Linked DNA regions of Alligator mississippiensis. The protein of the gene in region 1 purifies or fractionates together with the protein of each later gene. This does not show direct contact. Links are inferred from orthologs where the notes say so. Each region holds a gene or a part of one and is shown in the gene's direction. Other genes may lie near its edges.

Region 1 (7,480 bases):
TGTCATTTACATTTTTTCTGATTCAAAATTCACAGCTCTCCAAAATTATGAAGAGGTCTGTGAGAAATGGATGATTTTGCAGTCTGCAAATGACAATACAAAATCCTCCAAAACCTTTGGATTACCAGGTGAATCTGTTCCAGACTTACAATGTGCAAAACTACTCAACCTGATGGCTGACCAATGGCCTAAATGAAAAGAGTTGTTGGTCCTGAGCTCCGAGAGGCCCAGTCTCTAGGCCATGAAGCCACCCCACAATTATCCCCTTTCTTGGCAAATCTCAGAAGTCGAGGCTAGAAGGGACAATGGAAACTGAACTAACCTTTCAGATGTAAAGGGGCTTTCTTCAGAAAGCAGCTGAGGTGCATTCCAAGGAGAGAGCATGGAAGAAGCCTGCACTTGCAACTGCCCATGTTCTGCATGTTGTGGATACATGGTGTTTCATTCTTTTACTGCTCTTGGACTCATGCCTTTCACCAGAATAAAATCCTTAAAAACAAAAAAACCCAACAACACAAGGTCAACGTGGTGGGAAAGTTCCTTATGATAAGCCTAGAGTTGGCTCCACAGAGAGCAGGACTTTTGTTCACAGCTCTAAACTGGCTGAGACACATTTTCATAGATCAGTTTTACCTACCTGCTCAGATGTCACCGACTTGCACCATCCTTGGGCCCACATATGTATGCAGTCTTCCACAAACCTGTCTTCAGTGAAGATGCTTCAAAGTTTATGACTGAGCTTTCATGTTTCATTCTTGCTAACATCATCCAGAGCTTCGTGACTGAGATGGTTATAAGATAGGAGGACTCTGAGGACCCAGATAATTATCCTCCTACTATTACTGATACACAGATCAAGATTGATTTGTTCCTTGCTTTTGCAGAATAGGGAAACTGTAAATTTTAGAGAAGCGGTGTAAGGCTCAGGGCCGGGGAGTCTCCTTCCCAAGAACTCTTTCATGACAGCCAACAAAACAGAAAGTACCGTGACACTGGACCCAATGATCTCATTTTATAAGGTTTTTTTCCATGGGACACTAAAAATAATGAGAATATTAAGACAAAAGAAGATACCTTTGAGGATAACTGAAAATAACTCTTCACTTGATTTTCTATTTATCACACAAACACTTGCAGATTAATTCAGGTGGGCTGTAACTACTGTTGAGCTGTGGAAGCTCTGTGGAATGACTTAGACTTGTGCCCTGGCACAGGATAGCGGCAGGGGCTGTGATCACAGTCAGCTTTCCATTCTTGCCCTTAATGGTTCACTTCACTAACCTACTTTAGTGTTCCGGCTCTGTTTCCACGAGTGGGGATTCCCTTGGATAACTGGCAGATTTAAGAACTCCTTATTAATCCTCCCCTTCATTAAAGAAGTCAGTGACAAGACTGTATAAAGGGGTATTAAGGGATATATAATTCATAAGCAAGTTTTCTCCAATTTAAGGTTCCAGGTTTAGCCGATTCCTCTCATGGCTCACTGGTAAATAGGCCCCAAGTTGCCCTTAGATGCTAAATAATATCACTTGATAAAACTGGATTAAGGGGCAGTTCTTTTATCATCAACCAGATAGATTTGTCTATTCAAGGAACATTTACATATTTATATGTGGATCACAGTCCTGGAAAGCTAGTTAGGAAGACCAAGAACTGCCCATAGTGGAGGGCAAGGTGCTAGCTACTAGGTCACAACTGTAAATGTGGACAATTTTACATTAGGCCTAGAGCATACTCCGCTTCTTCAAGGGCACTCAGAACTAAAGGTGAAATCAAACAATGTGTATATAGAAATATTAGCCCTCTCAGCTTCTCTACTTTTTTTTTTCTACATATGATTGGTATAGGATAGTCCAACGAGGAGGAAGCTTCAGAAAATAGAAGGTGCAATTTTCCATTCTACATCAATGCTTCTAGTGGACCGTTGCATGCCTGCGCGTCTGTTCCTGGGATTCATTCTACAGGGAAAACAGGGACAAAATAAAGGCTATGTGTTGAAGGAAATATATACCCATCTTCAGTAGCTGTGAAATCACTTTTTTTTTTTTTTTTGGGGGGGGGGGGGGAGAATGACCATCTCCAGCTTTCCATTTCATTTTGCCACAACCAACTTGAAGAAGTTAGTTTAGAACAGCTCTGAATTTTGAACTAGTAAAAGGCAATGGGATGAAAACACCCAAAACCAAAGTCCTCCGTGTCTTCACAGAATTCCCATGCATCTTCTCAAATGTCCCTCAGCTTGGACCTGGCAGGACCATTTCTGAAGATGAGCAGAGAGCTCAATTTCTACAGCATATCCAGTTACAGACCCTCTTGTGCAACTGTTTGCCAAATGTGCAAATAGCACAGTAAACAGTAACAAAACTTGATCATTCTCAATCACAGCCAAATTTCCAATTAGTACTTGATACTCCTCAATCCCCATATGTCTCAAAATGATTTACAATGATTAATTAATCTTTACATTTTAGTGTGAAATGGGTATTTTTATTTCTAATTTACAGATAAGAAACTGAGGGAGGAAAAGAGGAAATTAACCCAGGAGTTGTACTTCCCAAACTCCTGGTTAACCACTACACCACACTCTCCTAGTGATGTGGGAACAGATTCAGGGAGCCCTCAATCCCAGTGTCCTGCTCTAGCCATTTGGACCCCACGTCAAGTGGGCAAGGTGGCTTTTGACATGTAACCTGGACACGGGGATGTGATCAGTCTATTGCAAACAAGGGCAGGTAGGCAGCCAATGCACGGATACAGCATTCATCCACTCTGGATACAAAGTCTTGATAAGAAAGGGAAGGTGGAAAATCTTGCACCCCTGCAGCAGTGAGTCTCAACCAGGGTACAATGGCACCCTGGGGTGCTCCGAGATCCTTTCAAGGGTGCCACACAATGCTAGTACTGTTAGGTGTGCAAACACGACTCTCATGATAAACCCAGACAATCCAAATAGGAGTCCATAGCGCTAAAAACACTCTCACCTGTTGCCATCTTCTGGAGTTCTTTGCAACGGAAAAATTGCAGTCAAAAAAGGAGCGAGAACTAAGCTAGCATTATCCGAGGGCGGCTTTGAGTCTAACGGGGGTGGGTTGAGTCTAAAAAGGTTAAGAACCCTGTCCTAAAGGAAACAGGTACAGAGATTTCTTCTCTAGCGACAGCCTGATAACCACAAACCACTGAAAAATAAGGCTGGAAGAGCTCTCAAGGGCCACCTGGCGCCGTTTGGGATCGTCTGGGCCTGTCTGCACCATCCCCGGCGAACGCTCACCAACCGGCACTGGAGGTCTCACAGCCGCGCTCGGGGCTCTCGGACACACCTCAGTCGGACGCTGCTCTCATGCCCCGGGTGCAACCCACTCGCCCTGTCCCGTCCCGTCCCGTCCCGTCCCCTGCGACGCTCGCATGGCTGTGCCCCGTCTCCTCTGATGCAGGTTAACTCCCAGGACCCCCCGCCTGTCCCCACAGGGCCGGGGCTCACACCTCTGCGCAGTGCTACTGCCACGGGAGCCCCGCCTGCCCGCCCCACCCCTGCAGGGACACAGCCCTCGCTGGGGGGCACCGGAAGACCCCCCCCCCCAGTCACTGAGGGGCAATAACAGACCCCCTCCCTCCCTTCACCTCACTGAGGGGGCAATAACAGACCCCCCCAATCACTGAGGGGGCAATAACACCCCCCCCAAGTTACTGACGGGGCAATAACAGACCCCCTCCCTCCCTTCACCCCACTGAGGGGGCAATAACAGACCCCCCAGTCACTGAGGGGGCAATAACAGACCCCCTCCCTCCCTTCACCCCACTGAGGGGGCAATAACAGACCCCCCCAGTCACTGAGGGGGCAATAACAGACCCCCCTCCCTCCCTTCACCCCACTGAGGGGGCAATAACAGACCCCCTCCCTCCTTTCATGTCACTGAGGGGGCAATAACAGACCCCCAGTCACTGAGGGGGCAATAACAGACCCCCTCCCTCCCTTCACCCCACTGAGGGGGCAATAACAGACCCCCCCAGTCACTGAGGGGGCAATAACAGACCCCCCTCCCTCCCTTCACCCCACTGAGGGGGCAATAACAGACCCCCCCAGTCACTGAGGGAGCAATAACAGACCCCCTCCCTCCCTTCACCCCACTGAGGGGGCAATAACAGACCCCCTCCCTCCTTTCATGTCACTGAGGGGGCAATAACAGACCCCCCCAGTCACTGAGGGAGCAATAACAGACCCCCTCCCTCCCTTCACCCCACTGAGGGGGCAATAACAGACCCCCTCCCTCCTTTCATGTCACTGAGGGGGCAATAACAGACCCCCTCCCTCCCTTCACCTCACTGAGGGGCAATGACAAACGGCGCTTCTCCCCCCTCCCCTCAGCGAGCCTTAGACCCCGCCCTCCCCCCGCAGGTGTGCGTGCTACGTCACGGGCGCGGCGTACGTGGCGCGCCGCGTCGGCGCTGGCGTGCGTGTGTCGTCACGGCGGGGCCTGGCGCGCGGCGGCCGCACGGTTGGGCTCGGGCGCGCGGCGGCCGTTGGCTCCTTGTCGCGGGGCTCGCGCGCGGCCTGTTCCTGTTCCCGTTCCCGCCGCCTCCGCCTCCCTCCGCCTCCGCCTCCCGGGGCCCAAGCGCGGCGTGCGGTGCTGTGCGGTGCGGTGCGGTGCGGTGCGGTGCGGTGCGGGCCCCGGCCCGGCCCGGCCGGCCGCCGCCATGAGCGTGGAGGCGTACGGCCCCAGCTCGCAGACGCTCACCTTCCTGGACACGGAGGAGGCCGAGCTGCTCGGCGCCGACACGCAGGGCTCCGAGTTCGAGTTCACCGACTTCACCCTCCCCAGCCAGACGCAGACGCCGCCCGGGCCGGGGCAGCCGGGGCCGGGGCAGGGCCCGGGCGCGGCCGGCGTGGGGCAGGGCCCGCCGGGGCCCATCGAGGCGCAGGTGAGCCGGGGGATCCCTCTCCCCAAGCACGTGGCGGCGGGCGGCGGGGAAGTGCAGCCGTGGGGCTGGGGCCGGCCCAGCGCCGGCGGGCGAGCGGGCGAGAAGTGTCACCAAACGCACGACTCGGCACCCCCAAAGCGCCGACCCCAGAAGCCGGGGCAGCAGCTCGCGTGTCAGCCTGGGCCGGTTCCTTGGGCAGACGCAGAAACTATTGTGGCAAGAACTACACCGCGCCGCAGCTTCGTTCCTTCAAAGACAATATAAACCAAGCGTCCGTCTTCCACGGAGCGGGAAACGGCTCCGGACCGCGTTCCCCCGCTCTCTTATTAAACCAGCGAAATAGCTGGGGGGGGAAAGGTCTTTGCGAGCGTGCGGGCGCAGCCCCCTTCGTCCGGCGTAGGGAGTCTGCGCGGCGCGCGATCGTCTTCGAGGAGCGGAAGAGGCTAAAAGCGTCCGTGAGAGCGCGTACATAGGTAGGAATTAGGGAAAGAAAAGGTAAAGGGACAGGTGGGGAAGGAGTCAAAGGTGAGTAAGGGAGACTTTAGGGCCCAACGTCAGTCGGGAACGTGAGTGATGTTCTTCCCCGGGGCGCGGCGGGTCTGCTGCTACCTGGGGCTTCGGCCTGGGCTGGGGAAGGAAGAGGAGGGAGGATTTGAGTTGGGGTCGGACCACCGCAGAAGGAAATATAATCGTTGAGGATCGCAGCTGCCTCGGCGGCGCGGCTCGGACGCTTGGAAAATTGCATTAGAAAGAAAAACGGCGGTTTCATACGTCGGGGCCGCAGCGTCTTATCCAGGCCGCCCATCCCCGTGTGCGTGTGGGGTCCTGCTGCCCTGCAGCGAGCTGTTTGCAAACCGTGGGGACATTGAAATGCAAGTTTTAAAAGTGAATCGCAATGCTGGTAAAGCCCAGAATCGGCTCTAGCAGGTGAAGTACGTTTCATTTTGGGTTGCGTTCTTGCTCGGACTGTGCTCCTGCTGCCAATGCATCAAAGGCAGAAGTGGGAGTGCAGGTCCCTGCGTTGGTTTTAGCTGCAGTTGTTGGTGTCGGTAGCAGAAACCCAGGCCCCTGAACTCGGGTCTTGACAGGGATTTCTCAGTTCACCTTTGTGTCTTTTTCTTGTGCGTTTATTTGGATGTCAAATCCGTGCATTCAAACCCGGGTGCCAGAAAAGCACGCACGGTGACAGGACGGCTTGTCTGGTAGGGCAAAAAATAAACTTTTTTTCCAAGCGGTACACAGGTTTGATCTCATCAAAACCCCGCGTGTGCCAGGCCTGCGAGTGTAACCGGGTTGTGTTGTCCTGTGTGTATAGACATAGTTTCATAGCATACGCGGGCACCGTGCTTGTACCGTGTATCGTCCTGTCATAAGTTTCTAGGAGCTGTCACGCCACTTCTACATTTTCTTTGGTGGTTTGCTCACATCTGGCGGCGCTGCCTCGTGATTTTCCTGGTTGAGTGCCGTACCAGTGTTAAAAGTCTCTGCCTCGGGATTAACACTAAAGGCATTTTCCTGTTTTGAAAGGAACACGTAAAGAAGATATTGAGGTAGCGAGGATCATCTACCCCCACTCAAGGGAAGATCTTATTTTGGAGTTTTATCAACAAGCTGCTGAATAGTTTTCAAAACTGGCAAAACAAGCATGAAGAAAAGCACTTTTTTTTTTTTACCAAGACTATATTTTTTCGCTGTTCTGTAGGCAGTATAAACCATAGTGTATCTCAGACCACGTTTGCTTTGTCTTTGCAGTTTCGGTACATATCTGTCCAGACTTGTGCATGTTAGCAGACCCAACTTGCGACCGTGTAGGAAATGGCACTTTCCCACATGAGGGCTTTCTTCCTGTGGCAGGCATTAAGCTGAGCACTTTGAAAGGCGTTGAAGTCGACTAGTGTCCCACTAGCAAGGGAATAAGGGGTCAGTGGTGCAAAAGTGATGGCCATACAGTTTCTTTCTTCACAGGTCAGCTGATGCGGCCCTTTTCTAAAGCCTGTATGTAAATCAGCCTTTCTGCACACACTGCTACACTCCTGATCTTCTAACTGCAGCTGTCTTACCTCTGTTTCTCACCACCTACTTCCTCTTCTCCCTTTCATGTTCTTCAGGGCCCTCTCCAGGCAGAGATTTAAAATAGCTGCTTTTGGCACATTAGCTGATATGCCCACTGACAAGTTTTTTAAAGTCTACTGTAGAGGAGGGACACGGCTCAACTCAACTGCTAATATGCTCAACTGGTTGAAAAACTGCTTGGCAGAGGCTAGCCGGATAGGGCTGTAGTCTGGAGTGTGGGAGACTCGGGTTTGGTTTCTTGCGCCTCCAGATCTCTTACGTGATCATGGGCATGTTACTCGGACTCTGTGCCTCACTTTTCCCGTCTGTAAAGCGGGGAACTCTGAAATGCACTGCCCCGTAAGACACTGAGGGTGGACAGGCATTTAGAAAAGCGCTTGTACTCTAAGGTAAGGTAACAGATGGAAAGGGTGCCGTGCTTCCTGTCTACGTGAGTCTTCTAAAAGCACACGGCCTGAAATGCTGACAGCACACCGTGCAGTCTAGCTGT
Region 2 (7,846 bases), on another chromosome or scaffold:
AAGTCCTGCACCCTCAGACTGGGCTGGCTCTGTGCCTCCAGGTGGTGCTTCTGCCACTTCTAGCTGGGAGTGGCACATGGAGGCATGAAGCCAGAGTCCTATGAGCTCCCTGCAGCAGAGCAATCACCAGCGGGGTATGTGTGTGTGCATCACTGTTCTTACCTGAGTTTCCACTCTTGGACTGAGGGAGAGCAGGGGAACAGCAGCAGGGTCCCAGGCCAGAAGTCTCTGCTAGGCAGAAGCTTCTGGTGGGAGCTAAGGGTAGGGTGGGGTGTGGGAGTGCCGGGTGGGTCTTGCTGCTGGGTCCTCCTGCCCATCACTGGCGCCTCATCGGCTTTTAGATAGGCAGTCACCAGCAGGCAATAATTTTCTAAATTTTAGAGGAACCCCACAAGCCAGATAGAATGGCCTGATGGGCCAGATCTGGGCTGCAGGCTGGATTTTCTCTGTTCCTATGATAAGCCCTTAATGCTCCTTCCTTTATCAGTGTTGAGACACCCTGTTGCCAGCTGGCCAAGTGAGCGATTCACACCTGCACAAAATCCATCTGGCCATTTGCATTTCTAAGGCTGACACTGCTGTAATCAAAACCAGGGTCTCTAAGGGTTTCTGCTTTAGGTTTCAAAGTCCTCTCAGTAAAAGTCTGCCTATGGCAGCTTGGCATGCAAGTTATACCACTTTCCAGAGTTGCATAAGTGCTTTATACCCACTGCAGTGTGCCAGTAATGCCTTTGTAGATGCTTAGGAGCTATACTGAAACCAAGTGTTCCCACAGAATTGAACATTTAATTTTTTACATCTTCTGCTTTGTGGGGATCACCGTGACTGGAAGCTCCCCCCCCACACATGCATAGTCCCCCACTTGAATAGCCTACCATGTTTTGAAACATTTCTGTTCCTACTAGGTAACCTTAGCAAACCTGCAGGTATGGCTGCAGGCTGACCTCATGCTTGGAAGGTGCCTGTTTTGCAGTCTCCCCATCTCACAGTTCTTGACAAACACTTTCCTACTATCCTCCCACTCAACCCCAGTAATTCTTGCAGTTAGCATTGATAGATGGACACAGTGGTCCCTGGTCCAAAAAGAAGGTCTGGATTTCCTTGGTGATGCAGTATGAGTGCAAATACAGCATTTCTGAAGGAATTGAGGCAGTTTATGTGGAAGAGGCAGAAATTGAGGTACAAGAGTGGTGAGTTCAGGCCCAGGCACAGGAGAAGGAAATCCAGAAGACTTTACCAAGAGACAAAGGAGCCCAGCAGAATGTGCCATGCTCTCACCAGAGGCACTGCTACTAGTTAAAACATAATGCTAAAGGGAGTAGGAACCACTGATTTAACATGGGGAAGAACTGCACAGTGATAACTTGCTGATTGAGGAATGGGGGATGTGGACAATGTGGTGCCCAGAGACAGGCATGAGACAAGGTCATAGAAACTACTACTGCCTGTAATCAGTCCTTACTAGGCTTACTTGAGGATGCCCCCACCTGCTCCCACATGACTACAGGGTTTGTAAAATACCCCCTTAAATGCCAGCAGTGTGCACCAAGGGCAGTGAGTCTGTCCCTGTTCATTTTTGTGTAGATCTATAGGAAAAATAATAGGAAAGAGCAGGCATCCAATGATCACTGTCAACTAACCTATTAATGCTAACAGCAGATGTTTGGTGATATATCGGTAGCTTAAGCTGGGATACTTTTGCAGACCCCCTTTCCATACTGCTGAAAGACTGACTGTGATAATGAGTCAAGAACAATGAACAAGATATGTGTTCTTGGAGCTACTGGAGAAATTTGGATCTAGAGGCCAGGGAATGGAGAGAAAAGCATGCTGAAGAAAGTGTAGGAAGCCCACAAGGTGCATTGAATTGCAGTCTATGCAGAACAATGTATCTGAAGTCCTATGGTCTGGCCGTCGTCATGCTGTGTGGATGATTCCTTCCTCCTTTGGCCTGAGGTGTATACTTCCCTTCCAGACCCCTCTGTGGCCTGCAATAGTTTCTCATGCAGTGGATAAGGAGAGCTGCTGTCCAGCCCAGGAAACCAAACTGTGATGCAACCCAGAGTGGTCAGCACCTTGTGCTTTTTTTGTCATGCTAAAGTCCTATTTTGTGAAAACCCATGAGTGTTTTGTTTCCATGAGCAGAGAGGTAGTTAGCCATATTAGTCTGAAAACAGGCAGAAGGCAGGGAATCTGTGCACCTCATAGACCAACTAAATCAGAGATCTATAACATAAGTTTCATAAAACCAAGCTCACTTGTTCAGATGCTGATTAAGTGATCACAGCATCTAATGAAGTGAGTTTGGGCTTACAAAAAAATTGCACTATATAGATCTGATTTCATTTATGAGGTGCAAATGTACCCTGTATTTTTTCTCAACACAATGGAGCTGTAGCTCCACCCCAGGTTCAATAACACCATACCAAATTCTAAAGTGTAAAACAATTCAGAACCTGGCTGTGTACTTTACCTTAAAAAATAAGATTACTGGCTGTGTCACACAATCAAAGGGCGTTTTAAGGCCTTCCTCATCTGTACAGCACCTCAGTGGGTGCTAGTAATTGCCCTTGAAATAGGCTGCTCAGAATCAGCAGTTTCCACTTCCTGTTTCCATTCTTCTATAATGCTTCACTTCTAGCCTTGCAAATATTATGCAGAACACAACATGCAATAAAAAACGGCTAGTCTAGAGAGCTAATCTAGTTCTAAGACACGTTCACTATCCTTTTATGCACACTACAGTAGAAGTTTTGCCTTTTCGGAAAAAAAGATTCTAGTTTTAGTAGGTCTGAGGATGTCGTGTCCGCATGTGAACTACCGTATGTAGAAACCAGGAATTATGCTGTGCTTCTGGCCTTGTTACTACAAGAAAAAAAATCAGGAGCTGAAATTCATACATGTCCATCCCTCTGTGGTAGCAGTGTGAAGGCCTTAACATACAAGGATTCTTTCTCTACAAGTAGGAGAACATGTATCTTTATTTAAAAAAAAAGGCATTGAACAGAGCTTTTAGAATCTGGGCAGGATGGGAGAGGACTTCTGCAGACGTGTTGCCTGCAAAGCCATACAGGCAGCTGTGCAAATGGGATGCAGTTCTCTTTCTGATCCTTGCAGGCAGGGTAGGAGGTTTATTTTCTTTTTAGGAAGGAAATAAATAGTTCCTTGATCCAGGATCTCTGCTTACCTTGTTCTACTTGTATTTAAAACAAACAGAAAAGAGGGCATTTAAATGATCAACTAACAGCCCATTGAGAAGAAGAGCATAACAGCTCATGCTATTCTCTAAAATGCAGTTTCTACCACATTGGTATGGCTATAACTGTGGAAAATCAATGTCCTTTTTTGTCACTACAAAAGCAGTCTCTGCATGTTGCTTATTCTGATTCAGCTTCAAGGAAGTTAACAATATTTGAACCCTTCTCTAGATGCTTTAAGCCTTTCAAAAACATCATGTAACTGAGTTACATACAGTTATCTGCACTCTTCTAGCTCCTTAGCTTCAGGGGCATAAAAGAACAACTAATTTCTGGGGACCTTTTGTTCCCAATTACAGCAGGGATTTACATGCCCTGCACTACACACAGGAACTGCACTGTGCACTGGGCTCCGCAATACTAGATATGTGGGAGCTCCTTGGAGGCAGGGGCAGGGATCGTACTCTTTGAACCCTTGGTAGAGAACTGGCTGTGTTATCTTGCAAATCAAGGGAAGCGATTCTTATGCTCTATTCCACACTCATGAATTGTGTCCAGTTTTGGGCCCATGCTTCAAGAGGGATGCAGAAAGATTGAAAGGGTTCAGTGCAGACCAACAGAAATGATCAGGGGCTTGGGAGACGAGACCTATAAGGAAAGGCTGAAAAAGCTAGTCTGAAGGGAAGATTGAGAAGGGATTTGATAACAGCCTTCAAATACCTGCAGAGCAATTATAGAGAGGATGGAGATAGGCTTTTCTCTGTGGCTGTAGGGGTCAGGATTAAGAGCAACAGCCTCAAGCTGCAGGAGGGGATATTTAGGCTGGAGACTGGGAGGAGCTGCCTGACTATGAAGGGGGTCAGGCATTGCAACAGGCTGCCTAGAGAAACTCTGTAACCTCCTCCACCCCTGGAAGTTTTCAAGAGCAGGTTGGTCAGACACTTGGCAGGGGTGGTTAGTCAGGGCTGATCCTGCCTTGAGCAGGGGCTGGAGTAGATGACCTTGTGAGGTCCCTTCCACCCCTCCTTTCCTATGATCTTGCTCAGTAAGTGGAGGTGAACATCCTTGTGGGCTGCAGGTGGCTTGTGCACAGCATGGCTCACAAGTGCCCCAAGCAAGGGGTGGATCCATGGGGTGGAGGTGCAGTGGTGCACTTGCACCCCACCTTTGGATCCACCCAAAGTTTAAAACCAACTGCCTGGGAGGGACAACTGCATTTCTATTCAGGAAGTGCTGAAAGAGTCAACTGACTTCATGGCTTATTATCATCTCCCTCTCCTCGATCTCTCCCCCCCCTACTGCCACCCTTGTTTGCTTTCCTGCAGAATTGCACCCTGGGGTGAGTAAAGCTCCTAGTTCCCCCTCCAGGCCTGAGCAACGCCCCGCGCATGCGCTAAAGCCACCCCAGCGCCCACTTCGGATTCTCCCGCCAACACGCCCCGAAGGGCGGGGCCGCTGCGCACAGGACGCGCCAGCTGCCTGACGCGTCCATGAGCCGCCACATGTGGGGGGGAAGGGGAATGTTCCATTCCCCCTCCTGCTCATACCATTTGTCCTCGCTAATGGCGCCGGTGGGGAATGGAACATTCCGAGTCGCTACCCCCCCCACTCACTGTGCTCCATGGGCCGGCCCGCGCATGTGCAGTGCGGGGAGAAGGGTGAGGCGACGCGGGACCGCTCAGTCGGCGTCCGGCGGGAGATGCGAATGGAGGGTTCGAGCTGCGCCCCCCGCGCCATGGCCTTCCGCCCGCGCGACAGCGACTGCAGGTCGGGGGCAGGCAGCGGCCGGGCCCTTCCCGCGGGGGGCGGTTGGGGAGGCGGGAAACGTGGGTGGGGAATGGGGGCTCTCTGACGCTTGTCCCGTCCCCGCAGCCCCCCGGCGCCGCCGCGCTGGGCCCACGGCAGGAAGCGCGGAGCCGACGGGAAGCAACGGACGCCGAGCGGGCCTGAGGACGAGGACCAGCCGCGGGCCAGGCCGGCGGGCGGCCGCGCCGAGAGGTGGGTGCTCCTCGGGGCCGGTCTCCCAGGGGGTCGGGTGGCTGCACAGCGCAGCACAATAGGAAACGCCGCCGGGCGGGAGCGAGGGGCCTGTTTATCCGAGCGGGACGCGGGATGGGACCAGTGAAACGGGCCGGGGGTGTGAGCGGAGGGACAAGAAGACCCTGCAGTCCTCCTGCCCGGAGCCGCCTCCCTGTTGGATATGTCACAAGCGTACGCGGGGCCGGGAGCGGGTCGGGTATCTCGCCAGCATCGCCAGGGCCAGGAGTACCGGGGGAGGCTGTACATAAAATGGTGGGAGGGGGCGGGGGGAGGAGTCCTGTGGCCAGGAGCTCAGCAGGAGGCTCTGCAGGAGGTGGCGAAGGGGCCGGGACCCAGGAAAGACGGGCTGGTTTGGCAGCGCGCCGCGGAGAACGGAGGCTGATGGGCTGCCTGCTGCTTGCAGCCCGCACCTCGCGTAGCCCCGGGCGGCGGGCTGTACCCCCCTTGTAAACATCAAGGGCCAGTTGTGAGCCCGGTGCCCCTCAGTCCTGACCCGTTGCCCCCAGTGTGGGGCACGGAGCCCCGGCCAGGCTGGGACTGGGCAGCCTGCAAGGGGGAAACTCACTGATTTCCCCACCTTTTTCTCCTTTTAAAAGAGAATCCATTTTTTAAAGCTTGCTGATCCATTTTTTTTTTTTTTTTTTAAGCTTCTCTGCAACCCTTTCCTATATTCATGGGACCCACTTTTGGTTTGTGAGAGGTGGGTTGAGAGACACTGCTCTAGGGGCCCTGCTGCACCTTCAGATGAAAGCTGAGTAGCTGTTGAGCTGTTCTGTATTTAATAGCAGGAATGGGCCTTTTAATCATGTGATCATGACTTTGTACATGTGGCCTGTCTAAATTTTTTGGGCAATTGGCCAGTTAATTGTATAATGCTGAGGCCTAGCAGTAGATGGTCACCTTGCTGGGGTCACCTGACCCCCAGTTGTTTTTCCTGCTTGGTGCAGGGGGCTTGACCCCATGATTTTCTAAAGTCCTTTCTGGCCCTACAGTCTATAAATCTATATGAAGTTGGGTAGGGGGAAGTGGGGTGCTTGGTCAGGCATTATGACCTTACAGCCACAGCTGTTCCTTTCCCACTGCTCAACTGACAGGGGCAGAGTTCCCCGTCTGCCAAGGTGACTGCAGCACAACGTGATCCAAATGCCAAACCTGGCTCTGGGCTAGTGAAGAGTCCAGTGTTGATATATGCTAGATTTACCAAGACAGGAAACCCTGTTTTCTTCTCTTTGCTTATGAAATCTTATGTACCCGTTTAGGTACCATATTGCAGGAAAAAAATTATAGTTACCTAGCAAACATCTTCATGAATGTGCTCAGAGTTGAGGCACTGTTTCTGTTGCCAGTATAACATTAAGCACATTGCTACTCCATTCTTGCAATCGGTGGCTTCTGTTTTACTTGCTGGGGCTGGCATATAAATAAGAAGCTACACAATTGAAGCTTAACTTCACTTTGAAAAGTGACTAGTATTAGTTCTGTGGTGTTGTCCAGGTGGCCTGTGCATCATAGCCTCAGACATGCTCAATTAACAGAAAAGATGTTTGTTAACATTAGGGATGTGAAACAAGCTGTTAGACTATAATTATATTTAAAACATTAATTGCAATGCATTAATAGTAAACATGGGGCTCAGCCTGGTGGTGAAGGGAAGTGGCCCAGTGCCCCAAGAAGGTGACCAAGCAGGCACTGTGGCTGCCTCATCTGCTTGTCCCTGCTTGCCCCTGCATGAACTCTCTTCAGGAAAAATTGGGAAAAACAGCGCAGCTTTTACTACTGACTGTACTGTCATCTGCCACCACTGAGAATAGGTCCAGCTCCATCATCTTTGGAACCACCCTTCAGGGAGTTGACAGCTGCTGTTAAATCCCCTCTCAGTCTTCTTTTCTCCACACTAAATGAACCCAGTTCCCTCAGCCTTTCATCATAAGTCATGTGTCCCAGCCCCTGAACCATTTTCGTTGCCCTCTGCTGGACTCTCCAACTTTTTCCACATCCTTTCTGTAGTACAAGGCCCAAAACTGAATACAGTACTCCAGATGTGGCCTCACCAGTGAATATAGAGCAGAATAATCACTTCCCTTGACCTGCTGGCAACTCTCCTACCAATGCAGCCCAGTATGCTGTAAGCCTTCTTGGCAACAAGGGCGCATTGCTGGCTCATATTCAGCTTATTGTCCACTGTAACCTCCAGGCCCTTTCCTGCAGAGCTGCTGCCCAGCCAGTCAGCCTGTACTGGTGCATGGGATTGTTCTGTCCTAAGTGCAGGACTTTGCATTTGTCCTTGTTGAACCTCATGAGATTCCTTATGGCTTAATCCTCCAATTTATCTAGGTTACTTTGAATCCTGGCCTTACCCTCCAGTGTATCTACTACTACCTCTTTTCCCCCCCCCCCCCCCCCCCCACATGCTGTCATCTGCAAACTGGCTGAAGGTGCAATCTGTCACATCTTCTAGATTTGTTAATGAAAATATTGAACAAAACCAGGCCCAGGACTGACCCACTCCACTTGATACCAGCTGCCAACTAGACATTGAGCCATTGATTACTACCCTCTAAGCCCAATGATCCAGCCAGTTTTCTATCTACTGTACAGTTCATTCATCC

Evidence for each region. The genes of interacting proteins can lie anywhere in the genome.
Region 2: the proteins of UPF1 (region 1) and SLBP purify together in Homo sapiens (affinity purification with western blotting; 4 studies listed by BioGRID and IntAct, with this or other methods). This does not show direct contact. The link is inferred for Alligator mississippiensis from reciprocal best matches to the Homo sapiens genes UPF1 and SLBP.

What each region holds. Positions count from the first base shown.
Region 1 is NC_081839.1:1,283,021-1,290,500, forward strand, and holds the start of UPF1 (regulator of nonsense transcripts 1), read left to right. Parts: upstream 1-4,471; 5' UTR 4,472-4,692; coding exon 4,693-4,917; intron 4,918-7,480. UniProt on the Homo sapiens protein: RNA-dependent helicase required for nonsense-mediated decay (NMD) of aberrant mRNAs containing premature stop codons and modulates the expression level of normal mRNAs.
Region 2 is NC_081825.1:17,630,684-17,638,529, reverse strand, and holds the start of SLBP (histone RNA hairpin-binding protein), read left to right. Parts: upstream 1-4,841; 5' UTR 4,842-4,896; coding exon 4,897-4,964; intron 4,965-5,069; coding exon 5,070-5,195; intron 5,196-7,846. UniProt on the Homo sapiens protein: RNA-binding protein involved in the histone pre-mRNA processing.